3 linked regions of the Arabidopsis thaliana genome follow. The protein of the gene in region 3 interacts with the protein of the main gene of each other region in a pairwise test. Each region holds a gene or a part of one and is shown on either strand. Other genes may lie near its edges. The genes, in order: AT2G28990, AT5G49760 and AT5G41500.

What was found.
Region 1: the proteins of AT5G41500 (region 3) and AT2G28990 interact in a protein complementation assay, tested with the Arabidopsis thaliana proteins (one large-scale study listed by BioGRID).
Region 2: the proteins of AT5G41500 (region 3) and AT5G49760 interact in a protein complementation assay, tested with the Arabidopsis thaliana proteins (one large-scale study listed by BioGRID).

The regions. Positions count from the first base shown.
Region 1 is NC_003071.7:12,452,817-12,460,238, forward strand, and holds AT2G28990 (Leucine-rich repeat protein kinase family protein), read left to right. Parts: upstream 1-1,820; 5' UTR 1,821-2,238; coding exon 2,239-2,308; intron 2,309-2,423; coding exon 2,424-2,961; intron 2,962-3,559; coding exon 3,560-4,035; intron 4,036-4,166; coding exon 4,167-4,311; intron 4,312-4,389; coding exon 4,390-4,461; intron 4,462-4,555; coding exon 4,556-4,627; intron 4,628-4,706; coding exon 4,707-4,784; intron 4,785-5,001; coding exon 5,002-5,162; intron 5,163-5,249; coding exon 5,250-5,500; intron 5,501-5,583; coding exon 5,584-5,710; intron 5,711-5,825; coding exon 5,826-5,891; intron 5,892-6,044; coding exon 6,045-6,234; intron 6,235-6,316; coding exon 6,317-6,725; 3' UTR 6,726-6,889; downstream 6,890-7,422.
Region 2 is NC_003076.8:20,214,441-20,221,960, reverse strand, and holds AT5G49760 (Leucine-rich repeat protein kinase family protein), read right to left. Parts: upstream 5,630-7,520; 5' UTR 5,283-5,629; coding exon 5,195-5,282; intron 5,116-5,194; coding exon 4,995-5,115; intron 4,920-4,994; coding exon 4,848-4,919; intron 4,764-4,847; coding exon 4,689-4,763; intron 4,596-4,688; coding exon 4,524-4,595; intron 4,438-4,523; coding exon 4,273-4,437; intron 4,179-4,272; coding exon 4,104-4,178; intron 4,009-4,103; coding exon 3,937-4,008; intron 3,858-3,936; coding exon 3,786-3,857; intron 3,699-3,785; coding exon 3,630-3,698; intron 3,542-3,629; coding exon 3,467-3,541; intron 3,382-3,466; coding exon 3,310-3,381; intron 3,214-3,309; coding exon 3,079-3,213; intron 3,003-3,078; coding exon 2,527-3,002; intron 2,437-2,526; coding exon 2,281-2,436; intron 2,212-2,280; coding exon 2,075-2,211; intron 1,986-2,074; coding exon 1,766-1,985; intron 1,693-1,765; coding exon 1,457-1,692; intron 1,383-1,456; coding exon 909-1,382; 3' UTR 579-908; and 1 more. UniProt on the Arabidopsis thaliana protein: Leucine-rich repeat receptor protein kinase that acts as sensor of extracellular hydrogen peroxide. Required for intracellular calcium influx in response to extracellular hydrogen peroxide.
Region 3 is NC_003076.8:16,601,981-16,605,733, reverse strand, and holds AT5G41500 (F-box and associated interaction domains-containing protein), read right to left. Parts: upstream 1,733-3,753; coding exon 521-1,732; downstream 1-520.

The sequences.
Region 1 (7,422 bases), on a different chromosome or scaffold from region 3:
CAAATGCGGCCTAACCGATGTGATTCATAATTAGTTATAGACGACCAACCACTAAAAATAGACGAAAGTAGTTCAGCTGATCTGCCCTCCTTGACTCTCGTCTCCAGAAGACAACCAAATTGCATAGAACTGTGATTCACCCAACTTTTGATAATGGAATGTTTAGAAGATTTATTTAGACCACGGACATTCCAAAAGAAACCCGACATAAAAATTATTTCTTTTTATGAGCCCTATGACCTGAAACACTAGGGTTACCCTTCGTGTTTTGATTCGCAGAGCTTTTGACCACCTTATGCTGAGACTTTGAGATTCGTGGGATGTACGGACGAGTCCCTTGAACACCAACTGAATCTGAATTATCATTTAATTGTTGGGAGAGAACAACAATTTCTCCTTCCTCATGACCGTTTGTGTCAGCCGTGTCCTCCTCCACTGCTAGGACATCAAAACGAGAAGGAGACGCATGATTAACTACTTCTTGAGGTTGAGGACTCCTCTGCCTGCCTACCTTAGCAGGCGATACCGTGTGCCAGGGACCTTCGTCCTTCAAATTTTCCTCGTTTTCCTCTGCAACTTCCTTTCCCTTATTCTGTAAAACAGTCGGATTCTTCATTGGAACTTTCTGAGTGTGAGAATCACCGTTTAGCGTTTTTGTCAAAGTAGCCGAAGGAGATTTCGATAGTATTTCGAGAGGTTTTTCTTTCATGAGAGGAGGCTCTGTTTTATCCTCTGTTTCTATCTCCGTTGGTGTGGATAGCTGATTGGGTGATGGACGCGTTAGACAAACCTCTTGTATATGTCCCCACTTAGAGCATGAAGAGCATCTCGGCGGCAACCAAGGATACTTATATTCGACCATTGCATCAACGCCAGTTTCAGATTTAAAGCGGAATTGTTTTGGCATTTCCTGTGTTAAATCTGCTTCTACAAATACCTTAGCTTCCTCAAAACTGTTGCACAGAACTGTGTCAGGGTGAAGCTTTTTTGGTTCCCCAATAGGACTTGCAAGAAAACTCAGACCCTTCCAAGTAAACATTGAGCGTGGAACATTTTTAATGGTGATCCACATTGGCATTGTTTTAATTTCTGGCTGAGCATCCTCAGCAACCGGGGACCATTTAGAAACGATCATAGGCATGTCAGCTATGTTCCACATTCCTCTGCGAAGAACCCTAGCTCGGACTGAACTCTCTCTGATTCGGAATTTGATTGTTTTAGTGTCTACCACATATGCGTCAATCTTTACCGTCTTGTCTCCAAGTGGCCAGATCTTGTTCACAATAACGTGAACTTTTGCAATATGCGGAGATATTTGTGGAAACCGCCCTATGAGCAAATCATCCCACAATGGTGTTGAATCTTCAAAGATTTCATTTGGGACTTGGACAATCGAATCACCGTTGACCATTGTTACGTTGAATTCATGCTTCGAAAGGGTTGGTCTATTCTGAACAATTGATGAGTATGATGGTTTGGTCGTTTCTGGGGAAGCTTCTGAACTTTTCGATGTGCTCTCCACCACCATCGCCGTCGACATGATGGGGGAAGACGGCGGAAAAGCCGCCAGATCTGCCAGATTGGGACACACGGTAGTGAAACCCTAAATCGCCTTCAAAATCGCCCTGCCACGTCAGCCCTAATTTTTTACCTTTGATTGATTGGTCTATGATTAGTTTGCCGCTGAAAAAATCAACAAAATATAATGTGTCAGTGAATAACATGATTTTTCTTTTTAATCAAAAAACATGATCTTTGTATACTAATTCTGAAACTTAATTATATATATTCGATCCAATCTAGTAAACTAGTTTATAGGACGGGATCCAAACGAAATACTTATCCACGAAAGAAACCTTTATATATCTTTGTGCTCGAAAGTTTTCTCATTCGTTATTTTGGTGGCTGACTACTAAATGAAGATATACCAAATGATTTTTCTTCACTCAAGCAATTTAAGCACATAGACAAAGTAAGATCATCTGGCGATAAACCATACATTCGTGGAGGAAATATTCCTACACATGACGAGTCTCCTGAACATATACAACTATTCAACACCAGATTGATTATTTCCACGATCATTATTTAATTTTCTACCCGGAGTTGACTTTTGTATATTTCATTCCAACTTATACATGAGGTATCTCTCAGTTCCATATCTTTTGCAGTTTTCCCTAAGCAAGTCTTTGTTTTTTCTTGAGTACTAGAGAAACCGGATAGTGATCGAGAGAGAACATGAAGATTCACCTTTTGTTGGCCATGATTGGAACCTTTGTCGTTATAATTGGAGCCCAGGATCAAGAAGGTAATGATATATACCATCTCTTTCTTGTTTATAAATCAATCCTTTGACTTGTGATATGTTATATAAGAATGTATCAATATCACTTTTCCCATTTATTGCTTTTATATTTGAACAGGTTTCATCAGTTTAGATTGTGGATTACCTAGTGACGAATCTCCTTACGATGATTCGTTTAACGGATTAACATTCACATCGGATTCCACTTTCATCCAAACAGGAAAAATTGATAGTGTCGATAAAGATCTTAACATAAACTTATCAAAACAATATTTGACTCTTAGATACTTCCCAGAAGGAAAACGTAATTGTTATAGTCTTGATGTCAAGCGTGGCACAACTTATCTCATCGTGGTTAGCTTTGTATATGGAAATTATGATGGTCTTAACCGTGATCCAAACTTCGATATCCATCTTGGTCCCAATAAGTGGAAAAGAATAGATTTGGATGGAGAGAAAGAAGGTACAAGAGAAGAGATCATACACAAAGCCAGGTCAAACTCTTTGGATATTTGTCTTGTTAAGACAGGAGAAACTTTGCCAATAATTTCAGCCATAGAAATACGGCCACTAAGGAATAATACGTATGTTACACAATCTGGTTCGCTGATGATGTCTTTCCGGGTTTATCTTAGCAATTCAGATGCATCTATAAGGTAAGTCAATCTATTTGAAGCATTCAATGTGACGTTTTTCTTTTGAATAAAATTTAACATTATTCTTTTAAAAAATGTGAGGTTTTTCTCTCTTTTTTTTTCTGGAGAAGATATGAATGAGGGGATATGTTGACTTTACTTGTGTTAAAAACATCATTGTTGAATGATGTGTTCAAAATTTTAAGACTCCAACGTAACTACATTATGCCAAAACTATATGGCAAGTCATTGTAACAATTGAACAAAGAACTAAGAACAACGAACTAGAAATAAAAGATACTAATATGAGCTAAGAAAACAAATTTTTTTTTTCTTTTTTTTGTTCACAATTAAAACTAAATTAATTAATTGAAAGAAAATAAGCAAGAACCAAACAACCAAATCAAACATACAAAAGACTAACATTATTGTAAATCAAACTAAACAAGCAACGATAAATGAAATTGAATGATTGAATTCATTATTAAAAAAACGAGCCAAGGTGATTGACTCGGATAGTTGCCAACTAACTTAGTTTTTGGTATCTTAGTTTCATAGACTAGTATTTGGCTAATACAATTTACTTATTAATTTATGTGGCTAATAAAATTTATTGTAGGTATGCTGATGACGTCCATGATCGTATTTGGTCTCCATTCAACGGATCTTCACATACACATATAACAACTGATCTCAATATAAACAACTCAAATGCATATGAGATTCCAAAAAATATACTCCAAACTGCTGCCATACCAAGAAACGCCAGTGCGCCGCTGATTATTACGTGGGATCCACTACCCATTAATGCGGAGGTATACTTGTACATGCACTTTGCGGAGATTCAAACCCTTGAAGCCAACGAGACGAGGCAGTTTGACGTTATCTTGAGAGGAAACTTTAATCATTCAGGATTTAGTCCAACCAAGTTAAAGGTATTTACATTATACACAGAAGAACCAATGAAATGTGGTTCAGAAGGTTGTTATTTACAGCTAGTAAAAACACCGAACTCAACTCTGCCACCTCTGATCAACGCTATTGAGGCATACAGTGTTATCGAGTTCTCACAATTGGAAACAAGTCTTAGTGATGGTACGTACCTCTCAGCTTTCAATATTACAGGAATGTAACTTATATTATAAAGTATAAGCTATGATATTGATTCTTACATTATATTATAAAGTATGATATTGATTGTTACGTTCTCTTAATAATTGTGTCAGTGGACGCTATCAAGAACATCAAAAATACTTATAAGCTGAATAAAATCACTTGGCAAGGAGATCCATGTCTCCCTCAAGATTTGTCGTGGGAAAGTATTAGATGCACCTACGTAGATGGCTCCACTTCACCAACAATCATTTCCTTGTAATGTCATTCACAAACTTACTCTTTAATTTAAAATTTAAATATCTAAATATTTTGTATGTGTTTTTGTATTATTAGAGATTTGTCGAAAAGTGGATTAAATGGGAGTATACCCCAAATTTTACAAAATTTCACGCAATTACAAGAACTGTAAGTATCTCTACTGTTGATCACCTGAACCAATAATGATTTATTTGGACAGAATATGTAAGACAATTTCTTTTGTTTGTGCATATAACCACAGGGACTTATCAAATAATAGCTTGACTGGACCGGTGCCTATCTTCCTTGCCAACATGAAAACGTTATCTTTAATGTAAGCTATCTAAAAAGCATAAATGAACATTTTGACCTGCGTATGTATGTATATATAATGGTTATCTTTGTCTCAACAGAAACTTAAGTGGGAACAATCTCAGTGGTTCAGTTCCTCAAGCTCTTCTTGACAAAGAAAAAGAAGGACTTGTGTTAAAGTAAGATTTCCTTTTCCATAGAGGGAATGCATTTACTAATCATATAGTAACAAAGTAGAGGAACTTCATTTTTGGAGACTATTTAACTGCTAGATCTTTCTTAATTAAGAGAGTTCATGTCGATTAAATTATCGCAAAATATGGTACCTGACAGTTCGATTATTGCCTTTCCTATGCAAGCTATTTACAATTTCAAAATATGTCATATTCATTGTAGACTTGAAGGAAATCCAGATTTGTGCAAATCCAGTTTTTGCAATACCGAAAAGAAAAATAAATTCTTGCTCCCGGTTATTGCATCAGCTGCCTCTTTGGTTATTGTAGTTGTGGTTGTGGCTCTTTTTTTTGTCTTCCGAAAGAAGAAGGCCAGCCCTTCAAGTAAGTTATGAGCCATTAATAATTTGTTTACCTGCTATAAAGCAATGCATATAGTTAGCATATAACCAAATATACTATCATATGTAGATCTACATGCTCCACCAAGTATGCCTGTATCGAATCCCGGGCACAATAGTCAATCAGAATCATCATTCACATCGAAAAAAATTAGGTTTACTTACTCTGAGGTTCAAGAAATGACAAATAACTTCGATAAAGCTCTCGGTGAAGGAGGATTTGGAGTCGTGTATCATGGTTTTGTTAATGTTATTGAACAAGTAGCAGTTAAATTGCTATCACAATCATCTTCTCAAGGCTATAAGCATTTCAAGGCAGAGGTACCCTTTTTCTAGTAATTCTCAATAGATATCCAATTGATTTGTATATCTCTAAGAGTGTTGGATGATGGATGATTGGTTAGGTGGAACTCCTTATGAGAGTTCACCATATAAATTTGGTGAGTCTTGTTGGGTATTGTGATGAAGGAGAACACTTGGCTCTTATTTATGAATACATGCCAAATGGAGACTTAAAGCAACATTTGTCAGGTAATATCACATATATAATTGTTTTCTTAATAAAACCTAACCATGATATAATTTTTTTTTCTGAATAATTAAAGATCATAACTAAATTGATATGAAGTGTGTTTAATTGATACAGGAAAGCATGGCGGATTCGTCCTGAGCTGGGAAAGTAGACTAAAAATAGTTTTGGATGCAGCACTAGGTATTCATTAAACTTTAAGACAAATGTTTAGTTAATAATTACAGCTTTTATGGGTATTAGTATGGCCTCGACCGGATCAGAAAGGAACCATATGATGATATCGAAATTAATCTCCATTTTCCAATAAACGATGGTATTAAATTTAATATGTAGGATTGGAGTATTTACATACTGGATGTGTACCACCAATGGTTCACAGAGATATCAAAACTACGAATATACTTCTAGATCAACATCTCCAAGCTAAATTAGCTGATTTTGGGCTTTCAAGATCTTTTCCCATCGGAAATGAGAAAAATGTGTCAACTGTTGTTGCTGGTACTCCTGGATATCTTGATCCTGAGTGAGTATAACTTCATATGTTAGTTCCAAAATCACCATTCCTTTTTTTTACTTTACAATCACAACAATTTCTTGTTTTGCAGGTATTATCAAACAAATTGGTTGACAGAAAAGAGTGATATATACAGTTTCGGAATTGTACTGTTAGAGATAATTTCAAACCGTCCTATAATCCAGCAATCCCGTGAAAAGCCTCACATAGTGGAATGGGTCAGTTTTATGATAACAAAAGGAGATCTTAGAAGTATTATGGATCCAAACCTCCACCAAGATTATGATATTGGTTCTGTCTGGAAGGCCATTGAATTAGCAATGTCATGTGTGAGTCTTTCTTCTGCAAGACGACCAAACATGTCTCGAGTTGTGAATGAATTAAAAGAATGTCTTATATCCGAAACCTCTAGGATAGGTGAGGGACGAGACATGGAATCAAAAGGTTCAATGGAATTCAGCAGAGACATTTATAATGAGGTAATACCTCAAGCTCGCTAGCTCGTCAAAATTTATTCTTGCTGGTTTTTCTTCTCATGAATATTCAAATTTGTGTGTTTCAAGAGTGTCTTTCGCCAATAATAACTAAGGCTTTCACTAATAACATGTAATACTGATGTTGAATTGTCGTAGTGTGATATATATTTTGTGAAATACATATGGTGAAATTTATTGAAATTATTTCATGAATTTGTAACCCACAACTAATTCTCGTCTTTGTTTCTATCTCAAGAAATGCATTAGGTTGTTCCCACTTTCGGTATTTTGAAAACCAAAGGAAGAGTTGAATATACCAAAACTTATGTATTTCCTTCAAAACTTAAGAGCTGTTTATATTTCCTTCAAAAGAAGATAAATAAAGAAGATATAAATGGTCTAATAAACCAAAAGTTGGTCAAAATTTAGTCTAAATATAAAACATGAACGTAATAGAACTTGTTTACAAGCGTATATCTCGTTGATCCTGAGTTTAATAAGATGTATAATAGTAAATGTTACGAAGAACTCCAATAATGAAATATCACAAGACAGATTTATCTTGTGGAGAGGGTTCATCATGTAAATGTTTTTTTTTTTTTCACCATGTAAAGTTGGTAATTCTTGTTGTATATTGTTTTAACGAAGACACACTTCGACCTAGTCTAGTACACAACCAGTGGAGATTTAAAACAACATCTATCATTCAAATTGGACAAAG
Region 2 (7,520 bases), 3.6 Mb from region 3:
ACGTATGTATGCTAATGCTATTTGGCCACATCCCACCACTTTTCTTATTTTTTTTGTATGTTATTTTTGTTTTGTTAGTGTTTTAGTAAAAAGACTTTTTGTAGTAAATAAGACACAAAAACATATGTGTGCTTTAATCCTCTTAAGAAACTAATACGATATGACTCCGGTATAAAAAAAGTTATGAGTCTACCGTAGTCTACCGTAAAGAATGGTAAATGGAGGAAACATATCGAGAAAAACTTGGTGCCGGTTCGCTACCTCACCATGAAATATATGGCAGAGTTGCCACACACCACATGTCTTAAATCATGTTTCTTTTTATTTTTTGTTAAATCATGTCATACATTTTGGGGGCGTGTTTGAGGTGTGGACAACAAGGACACTAGATCAGAGAGTGCTCTCAGATGAGACGACAACCATAAATTCACCCTGGGTCATGTAACTGTTGTTGTTCGATGGGATCGTTGATGTGTTAGGTTGCAAACCCAATAACTTTATTACTTTTTTTTCTTATTAGTTAATACTAATTTTACTTACGTACTACAAATTATTTGTAATATAAATTTGTAATATAATCTCATGCATAAATGTGAAAGGTTTGGAGTAAATTAAAAGTGTGTGTGATGTGTGGATTAAATCTTTGAAACCACACAAACTTCTCAACAAGAATTAATATATTCAATTATTCATCATACATTGAGCTTGATTACTTTTCTTATGTTTGAAACTGGTGTCGACATTGCCAAAGATCTGGTGGTTTTTGATTCTGCGTTTGGCTCTCCATTCATCTGCTTTATAATCAGCGACCACATATCAAACAGAATCATGCTACTCCACATTCACAAGGCATTTCAAGTATGAAGTCACTTACGAAATAACAAAATAACAAAAAGAAACATAATCAATCATTGGGGCTCAAGCTTTGAAGCTGGAAAATTCCCACTGTACTGAAACGATTCACTGCCATAAGGATCACCAGATCCTTTGATTGCGTCCTCATACGTTCTTGAACTCGTTGCTGAATCTGAGTTAGGATTTAATCCCGCAAGCTGCATTATGTTCTCAATCTCTTTCACAACCTCACCCATTGATGGCCTATTAACTCCTTCCTCCTCCACACATCTCAAAGCCAAGTCTACATACTTCTCGAACCCTTTTAGATTCCCACTGCTTGCTATGATCGTTGTGTCCAACAACTCCTGCAGGTCATACAAACTCCGAGATTTATTCATCTTTGTCTTCACCTCTCTCACCACATATTTGCCTCTCTCTATCGGACTTCTACCGGTTAATAGCTCGAGTAAAACCACACCAAACCCATACACATCGCTCTTCTCCGTTAATTGATTCGTCATGTAGTACTCTGGATCCAAGTAGCCCTGATTACAAAGATATTGTAAGTTTAAAATGTATTTGAGAAAAAAAGAGAAAGGAGGATAAATTTTCTACTCACCATGGTTCCTTTGACTTGTGTTGTGACATGAGTTTTCTCAGGGTCTCCCACAAGTTTGGAGAGACCGAAGTCGGCAACCTTTGCGGTTAGATTTTCATCAAGTAATATGTTATTTGATTTGATGTCTCTATGTATAATTGGAGGATCAGCAAGTTCATGAAGATAAGCCAAGCCCTTGCCTGAACCAAGTGCTATTTTAAGTCTTCTTGTCCAATCCAATCGAATCCCACTCTTCCCTGCATTACTAACATATTCAGCATCCAAGAACTATCTGAAATCCTCATGAGGAAGATAGAAGTTTGATCTTACCGGACAGACTGTCTTTAAGTGACCCATTTGAAATGTACTCGTATACGAGCATTTGTTCATTCCGGTCAAAGCAGAAGCCCAAGAGTCTGACAACATTCTTATGATGGACCCTTGAGAGAAGCTCAATCTCAGTTTTGAACTCCAACCCTCCTTGCAAAGATCCTTGTTGAGCCCTTTTGATTGCTATGAGTTGCCCATTAGGAAGAATCCCTCTATAAACCTATTTAACCATCAAAATTTGGGATCATGAATTTCAACTAAGGCCATTAGTTGTTACATTCATTTGAAGGCATTTGTTAAGACACAAACCTTGCCGTAACCTCCACCGCCAACATCATTTGCCTCTGAAAAGTTGTCAGTGCATTTCTTCAGCTCCTCAAAAGTAAACGCTTTTGCTCCCATTAGCTGCGGAGCATCAATACTACTCTTACTTGTATCCCATTTAGCTGCAACATGCCAAAGAAAATTTGTTCATGCTATTTTAGTCAAGGGAGTAGTAAATATTGTTGTCTTACCAAAAGGATTATTTTGACCAGTTGCTCTTTCAGCTCTCTTCTTCTGCCTAAGAGCGTAAATCCCAGCTATTGTTAACAATAGTAGAAGAACAACAACACCAACTACTGCTCCAATGAGAATGCTTTTGTTTGATGACTTTGATGAAACTTCTACATCTGTGACAAAAAGAAAGGCAGAGCAAATGAGTTATCAATAACAACCTTTAGTTCTAGTTTGATTGTGTGTGTGACAAGGGTTCATCATACCAGAGAACTGTTTGTACAAATCAGCTTTGAAAATATAAGGGCCAAATATCGGAGGAGGCTTATAAGTCTGGTTGCTAAATGCAAAACCAACAAGTGACATTCCTGTCTGATTAAAACTCTCTCTTCCCAATGGAAAGACCAATAGATCTATTAGAAGCTGATGATCAGTTGGATTCTCTCTTATGTTCCGAACACCAACGGAGTCTACAGGATAATTGAACTTCTTAAAGAAATCCGCGATTGCCTTCTGTAGAATTGAGAAGTTGGTGGAGTTGAACAACCCTGAGAAAGAAGGAGACCGGAAGTAGAGTGTTCCCATGAATGGATACGCACAGCGGCACGTGGGACTCGCTTCCATGCCCGGTTCGCATGGAGAACAGTTTGTTGGGAGTGTAGAAAATGAGGTATTGTGTTGGATTGCTGAACAGTAACTCGGCCCGTTTCCCGCCTCTAGACACACTGGATTATTTGCCAATCTGTAGATATATAAACACTTAAGCAGTTGATTGAGACAAATAGAAGTCATGTTTGATTAGTGACAAGGATACATACATTACTTGGAGGACTTTATTAGCTGATGGTTTATAATCAGTTATTTCATTGTATTGTAAATCCACAAACTCCAACTGGCTGCTAACGTCTGTACCAAAGTCTAAGCTTTCCACTATACTATTTCGCTTTAAGATACTGCAAAGTCCAAAAAAAAAAGAATCCCAATTTAGTACAAAGTTCATAATTCTTGAGTTCATTTCCAGCTTCATTTTTTTTTTTTTTTTTACTCACACAGTCTGCAACTGAGGAGGGCTGAAAAATGAGATTGGTATTGGACCATTAAGTTGGATCCCTTCCATCCTTCTGCGAAGAAGAAAACCCTTTGTTCTTAGAAAGTATACACATGGGAGATAAATGGAGAACAAGACAGAGACAGAGATGTTCATACAATGTTGATAGGGAGGGTAATGAAGAGATCCATGATGGAATGGGTGAGAAATCCAAAGTGTTATTGCTCACATCCCTGTTACATTTACAATCACATCATGGCATTAGATTGGTAAAGAATGAAGGTTTGAGATTGGTAGTGATGATAAATGTAAAAAACTTACAATGTGTAGAGACTGGTCAAGCTGGTTAAATTTGGAAGAGTACCAGTAAATCTGTTGTTGGCCAAGTACCTGAAATGTATTCAACTACAAATTCTTGTACCTCATTTTCATTTATTTTCAACAAACAAAAGAACAAATCTTTAGTTGCTCACTTACAGTTCGTTAAGATTTGTGAGATTGTTAAGATATGAAGGAATATCTCCAATGAGTTTGTTCCTATCAAGGCGTCTAGAACCAAGAAAAAACACATAAGAATTATAGACGTTAGGATAAATAAAAAATTTGAACTATATATATTACTACTTACAACACCGTCAACGTTTTAACGAGACTGAGGGTCTCTGGAATTTCGCCCGTGAATTGGTTTCCATCGAAGAGGCTATCGATAAAACAACGAACAATGCAGTCACTTTGTTAGTTACTTACTCACAACTTATGAAATCTCTCAGCTATATAATGTAATATGAAGCTTACACATGTATTAAACTCATGTTTGAGCTGAAAAGTTCTTTTGGGATATTGCCTGAAAGCTTGTTTTTTCCAAAATGACTACAAGAAAAAAGCAAAGGAGAGTCAGATCAATTACTATATTAGAAGGAGTGATTATAATAAACGGAAGTGAAAGATTTGGGATTATATATACAAATGCTTAGTTTGAAGAAGCATGTCAAGTCCAGGTGCAGAAGTCCCATTAGAAACTGGAAGCTCTCCTTCAATCTGATTGTCAGCTATATCAAACCAATATAGTTTTGATAACAGGCCAATTGAAGGCGGAATTGTTCCACTAAATTTATTTAAATTTAGGGAGCTGTATTGAGGAAACAAAAATTAATACTAATGGTTTTAGAGAATGCAATTGACTGTTTATAATAACATGAATCCACAGAATCTTACAGATATATAAGTTCTTTTAGAGTTCCAATGGACTCAGGGATTTGACCACTGAAACTACATCCCACAAGGATCCTGGAGAGTAAAAAGAGTTAGATAAAATAAGAGATAAGACAAAGTGATACATAAGTTGTGTACTAGAGATTTAATGATAGTGTGTTTCCTTACAAGTTCCTTAACTTCCCAAGGTTACCGATGTTTGGTGGAAGCGGTCCGGACAATTTAGGATTGTATGACAAATCCCTACAAAGATTGGATAATAAGATGAAAACAACCAAAAACCATTTTTATGTGAAAGGAAAAATAGAAAGAAAAAGAAAGACATACAAGATCCGCAACTCGGACAAGAACGATATATCGGCAGGAAGCTTTCCTTCCAAGTCAAGGTTACCTAGTGATCTACAATAAGCAACACAACATTAAAAGTCTGCAGAGCATTATTGGAAGAAGCAGCAACAATTTACAGAGCCTTACATTGAAACGACGCGGTCATTTTGACATGTAATTCCAACCCAATTGGTTCCACAAGGATCAGAGCCTTCCCAACCATCAGGAGGAGTGGTCCATTCACTCTTCAGAGCATTTAAAGCAGAAGCTGCACCAATATTCAAGATTAGGAAAAACTCTGTTCATCATCTATATGGTTGTATATGTATATATCCACACACACTCACCGTCTAAACCATTCGTGAGTGCCGAAACAGAACAAATTTGGAAGAAAAACAAGATCAGGAGCAAAGAGGCTCCAGTTCTTGAACTCATCTTCAAACCCAAAAAGAACCTCTTATCACTTCCTCTGTTTTCTGATCCTATCTCAAAATAATCTAAGAAAAAAGCATGTGCTCTACACAAAGGTTTGACGAATCTCTTAATAAAAATTATAATCTCTCTTTCAAAAACATGTAAACAATAATGTTAACAAAAAGAAGACGAAGACTTTGAACAAATAGAGTTAAAAAAAAAAGTATATCAAAAGAAGAAAATAGGAAGAGGACCATAAGAAAAAACTTGGTCAACTTAAAACAGCTGATAATGGGATATAAAGGTTTCACAATTGGGAAGAGTTGTTAAATGGAAATGTCAATTGAGTAATGGGAAGGAACAATTTATGAAACAATACATTAAAGTATACATATGAGTTGTCGTGATGCGAAACTAAAGTAGGACCCTTATTTATCTACTGTATTAAATACACTCATTATTGATTACAAAAAAAAATATCTATAAACTTCAAAAACAAAGAATAAAATATGATTTTGTTTGCCCAAATCGTTAGATCTCAGAAAGAGAGACTTGTGGAATATAGTTGTGGTCATCAACTATGCAGTGATATGTTTTTTTTAACAACCAAGATTGAATAAAGTCATGGTCGTTGCCTCGTTGGAAAAATGAGGACAAGCCATTTTCCAACTTGATATACTAATACTAATTACAACAACAGTGATGATGATGATGATGATGATTTGATGAAATATTGACTAGAACTTCAAAACTAATTATTTAATAATCGAGTGGGTATGCAAAACATATATAAATAAATGTGAGCTATGAGAAGAAGATGTGTAACTAATTTGTGTTGTGTCAAGCTTACAAGGACCAAACCTTTAAATTTGGCTATTGATGAACTTTATTACCAAGCTAGGGGAGACTAAGAGAGTACAAGTAGCAAGGACAACAACAACAACAAGAAGTGGAGAAACATCATAGCAATGTTGTAGTGGTAGGATCAAGCTATTGATGTATGTCAACATAATGTTTTGTCGATCAACTTGATAGTGGACTGAAACTGTTAGTGTCCACAAGCTACACTCGTGCAACTACGTGTGTTTAGGGGATACATATATACACTCAAATACTCTACGCGTTAACTACGTTATATGTTAAGGCTTTGAATGGATGTTACGGGCGGAGCGGACTAAACCATGTTGTCAGCTCCATACCAAATTTATTTCTACAGTATGTAAAATCAGTAGCTAGTTTGTCTACGGCGATTTTTTTTTTTTTCGGTCCACAGACTACAGTTTATGAATGGTAAACAACAAGAGATCCAATCCCGCAAATGGTTTTGTCAGTCCGCCGTGGCCATTTGAAGCCTAAGGTGCACCTCACCACTTACATTTGCTAGAATAGCAATTTGTGTATTGACTGGGTCTTAATAATCAGTTTGGATATAGATTGATCTAGCGATTCATTATTTTTGGAATTTTCTATGATATCTCTCAACAACTTCAAAAACGTTCAACAAGACTTGTGGAAAAGTCTTGAATAACTTATTAAACATGTGTTTTACAAGCATAATATCTCAAGGAAGATTAATTACAACTCCTAAATTATGGTATTGCCGGAATCACAAAGTTCTGGTGCAACAGTAACATTACCTAAGATGTATAAAGCTCATCAAATTCAATGTCTTAGAAAGGAAAGAATGTTGCCAGGGATGGATTCTCAAATGGTTTACTAGCTTTGAACCTGAAGATGTGAAGAACTTGATACATCATACACGGCTGCCTTCATAGCTACTCTGGTAGCTATTCTTGAGATCAGGATCTGTTTGGGTTGCAAAACAGTCTCTGGAATCAAAATAGTCATTGAATATAGTGTTCCGATTATCTAAAAGTGTTGTTGGTTAACTTGGATTTCCTTCCAGACTGAATCCAACTCCTCCAGTGGTTCAACCTCCGTGATTTGCAAATTGTTGCTTCTTTGTTTCCGATTAACTGGAATACTATATCTAATATTGAGATCACAGAAAACGTACATCGTTTCTGTTCTTGTCCAAAATTGTTTCTCTCTCTCTCTCTCGCCTGAATAGTTTCTGAAGAGTCAGGTTTCTTCTTTGTTGTTTCACTTTCTCGGTTTGTCCGATGATCGTCTCTTCTCCCAATTTTATGGGCCTATTGGGCCTTTTTACTTCACAATTTATGGGCTTTCGTATCAAAAATACAAAATAAACAAAAAAATAATTTACGGGTTAAAACTTAAAACCCCACGATTGGAATG
Region 3 (3,753 bases):
AAGGAAATTACAAGCAAATCTCATGATAACACCAAGAGATTCATCCTTAAGTTTGTGTTTGAGAATGCAATACATTTCATATGGACGGAGAGGAATGATAGAAGACACGGAGAGCGACCCTCAACAACGGAAAAAATGGTCAAGCTGATTGATAAAAATGTTAGAAACCGTTTGAGTACTCTAAAGCAAGGGAAGGTAGAGAAGCATGTCGAAGGACTCCAAGTGTGGTTCGCATCGAGATAATACACCGAGAATATAGGAATTTATAAGTATGCTATGAAAAGTTTGCATTCACGTATATTCACGTTTATTTTTTCTTTGCATATAATTTAACACTAAATTAAAAAAAAATAAAAACAGCGTTGATGTCTTCTTCTTTCTTTTCTTGCTAAGAATGTAAATATCATTAAAAAAACAATTGAGGTATAACATTAAATGCTAACTTAGCAAACAATCTCAATTTTATGCCTAATCATCCCGTTTGCTTGTTTCGCACATCCTCATACCAATATCAATAACTCTAATTGATGAGCTTTTCAATTGCAGCAAGTCTCAAACTGTTTTGAGCAAATCGACGGTCTTCTAAACTACTTTGTTTTATCATTTTGTCTCCTGCAGGATGCTTGATTTGGACCAAACTTGGAACATAAGAGCATGGCGAACGGTGGCCTTCATGTACTCCGAGATCCAATTTTCTTAAGAATCCAGTCTCTCCAATGATGTTAAGAAATAACTTGGGATATTCCCCATGATCAAAACCCATGAAAACTTTCTTCTCTTCGTCAACGTAGAAACTAAGTGGAAGCTTTATCTTAGGTCTCATATCCATTCTCAAGAACTTGCTCCACGACACCATTTCGACGTCAATCTTAGTCGTAATCCATATCTCAAACTCATATTCGTATGAATCGTGGTGCAGCCGGTGCTTAAGTAAAACTGCAAGCTTCTCTTCTTTAACACAAGATAAACTCACATGACATCCTTGAGCCCTAGGTAGAGGTAGAAGCGGACCAAATCTCTCACTTGTAAAATCAAAACAGATTATGTGATCTTGGAAACCTTTTGTGTTCATTTCTCTAGCAGGCCAGTAAGTGTTTCCCTTAAGGGAAACTCTAGGGTAAGTCCAAGATATACCCCAATGTGGAGTGATATCAAGAGTTGTCCATAAACAAGAGTCAAAATCGTAGATTTCATACCAAAAAAATGGTTTATCGGATGCTTTGTGGAAATAATCTAAAAACCTCAGTAATTTAACGCTACGACAAGATACCTTGTCGGCGTATCCAACAGCATATTTGAAATGGTCTACACCATGTGGACGGTGAGAATATCTGATTTGGATCCACCTTTCTTGCCCCAAATACGGATTCCAAACCACAATCCTAGTAGCGTCTTTCAAAATACATAACAGCAAACCCTCATAGTGGATGACTCGATATATAAAGAATTCCTTGTCAAGGAAACTAAACTGACCTTTAAGCTCTGTAGATGGATTAACGCCGTCGACGACAACGCTCACTAAAGCAAGAGTGTGAGGCATCACCGCAACCATCATGGTCTTCTCTTCTCTTGTTGCAGCTTTACCAATGTGCATCTTCATAAAACTCTCACTTTTAGATAAATTGTTCCAACTTTTGCAAGTTAATCTCATTGCTTTCATGGCTCTCAAGGGAACCCTAGAAAGAATCTCCTCTATCAACTCCCTCGGAAGATTAGAGATCGTTGTCGCCATTGTTGGGTTTTCCGAAAACCCTATTTTTCTTTTCCTCAAATTTCATCTTGCCGTTAAGGAAAAGTATATAACACTTATTGATACCAAAAACCCTAAACGAATGAAGCTGGGCCAATCGTGGGCTTCAAGATCAATAATAACTATCAACACTACAAGTGATAGTTCCATATATCTCATCAATTGGTTATCATATCCGGTTTAGATGTGGTTTACTCTTGATTAGAATGTTTATTAGAGTCGGTTACGTTAAACAGCTTGTACAGTATTTATGTATTCTGTTTTCTAATTTCTATGTTCAATAAACAAACTTGAATACCAAGGTTTCTTACAGTAACCAATCTGCAAATCCAGAAATTGAAAAGATTCATGAAGCAACAACAAAAGTGATTGAAAGGAAATTCTGTTCCAAATTCCTTTTGACGTAAATGCCAAAATAAAGTAAATGAGAAAGAAATGCCAAATTAGTTTTGTAACATAGTAAATTAGGCTTCGACAACAAGATAAATAGATAAGAAATAGTAAACTAAGACTAACCATCCTTTTCTCTCCTCCATATTTTGCTTCTAGAATTGCTTTTTAAATGCTTCAAGTCTCAACATGTTCTGTGCAAATCGTGGCTTTTCTAAACTGCTTTGTCTTTGATCCTTTTGCGTAGTGCAGGTTTCTTGATTTGGACCAAACTTGGAACATAAGAGCACACATGTAGCCGACACATTTGGTTTGTGAGTACTCCAATATCTAAATTTATTAAGTATCCAGCCTCTCCAATAATGCTAAATGTTCTTGGAATGTCTTCTGTCTTCATTAAAATCCCATGGCGACTTTCTTCTCCTCGTCAATGAAGTATCCTTCACATATAGTTGTGACCAATATATCAGGTCCCGTATCCATTCTCAAGAACTTGCTCCACGACACCATTTCAGCCTCAATCTTAGTTGTAATCCATATTTCAAGCTCATATGGATTTGATTCGGTGTGCTGAAATAAAGCGGCAAGCTTCTCTTCTCTAACACGAGATAAAGTCAAATATTCATAATCATGAACCCCAACGCTAACCGGCAGAGGCAGAAGCGGTCTAAATCTCTCTCTTGTAAAATCAAAACATATTATGTGATCGACGATATTTTCTTCTAAATTCATTTCTCTAGCATGCCAGTAAGTGTTTCTCTTAAGAGTAATGCCAAGGTCACAAGATATTATATGCCAGTGTGGACTGACATCAAGAGTTGTCCATGAATCTAAGTCAAAATCGTAGATTTCGTACCCAAAAACACTCTCTTTGAGTCGTTGAAGTAAATAGTCTACAAACCTCAAGAAATTAACGGTACGACAAGATTTCCTATTCTCATATCCAAGAGCATAACTGAACATGTCCTCTTGGTAAGGGCGGTAAGAATATCTGGGTTTGATCATAACGCTAGTTGAAAACCTCTAACAGACTAACACCTTGAATTCTCTAAGAAGTTCGATACACCGGAATCTATTTTCAGGGATTCCATGGCTGCTTGGTTTCTCACTTCTCTGGTATATTGTGACTTCTCTTTTCAGGAAGTCCGATATTGTTTGTTACACAATCGTTTGTTGCAAGGCGTGGTTGTTGGGCAGTACCCGAAAGTAGACAAGTAGTTTGATGAGCTGATCCTGATGTTTGTTATACCTATAATATCTATATCAATGGCTTATACAAGGAGAACGATATTGAAAGGAGTCATAACGATGATGTCTTCTATGAACAAGCTAGCTAGGTTTTGAGCCTAAGGTAGTTACATATATACAATATATTGACTAAGGCATTGTTTAGATCTGGGATCTTGTCGAGCTAAGACTCTATGCAAAGAGACGGGGACGAACTGGAACAGCCACACATATGAGATTGTCATTAATGCATTTACTGACCTAGACAAGGTTGTTTGTGCTTACGGTTTATTCAGAATAGGCATTTAAGATGAACTTGTTTGTTAAAAGTTCAAGAATCGAGGAAGTTATTTGCAGGTTATTTGAAAAAAGGTTTGAACTTATAG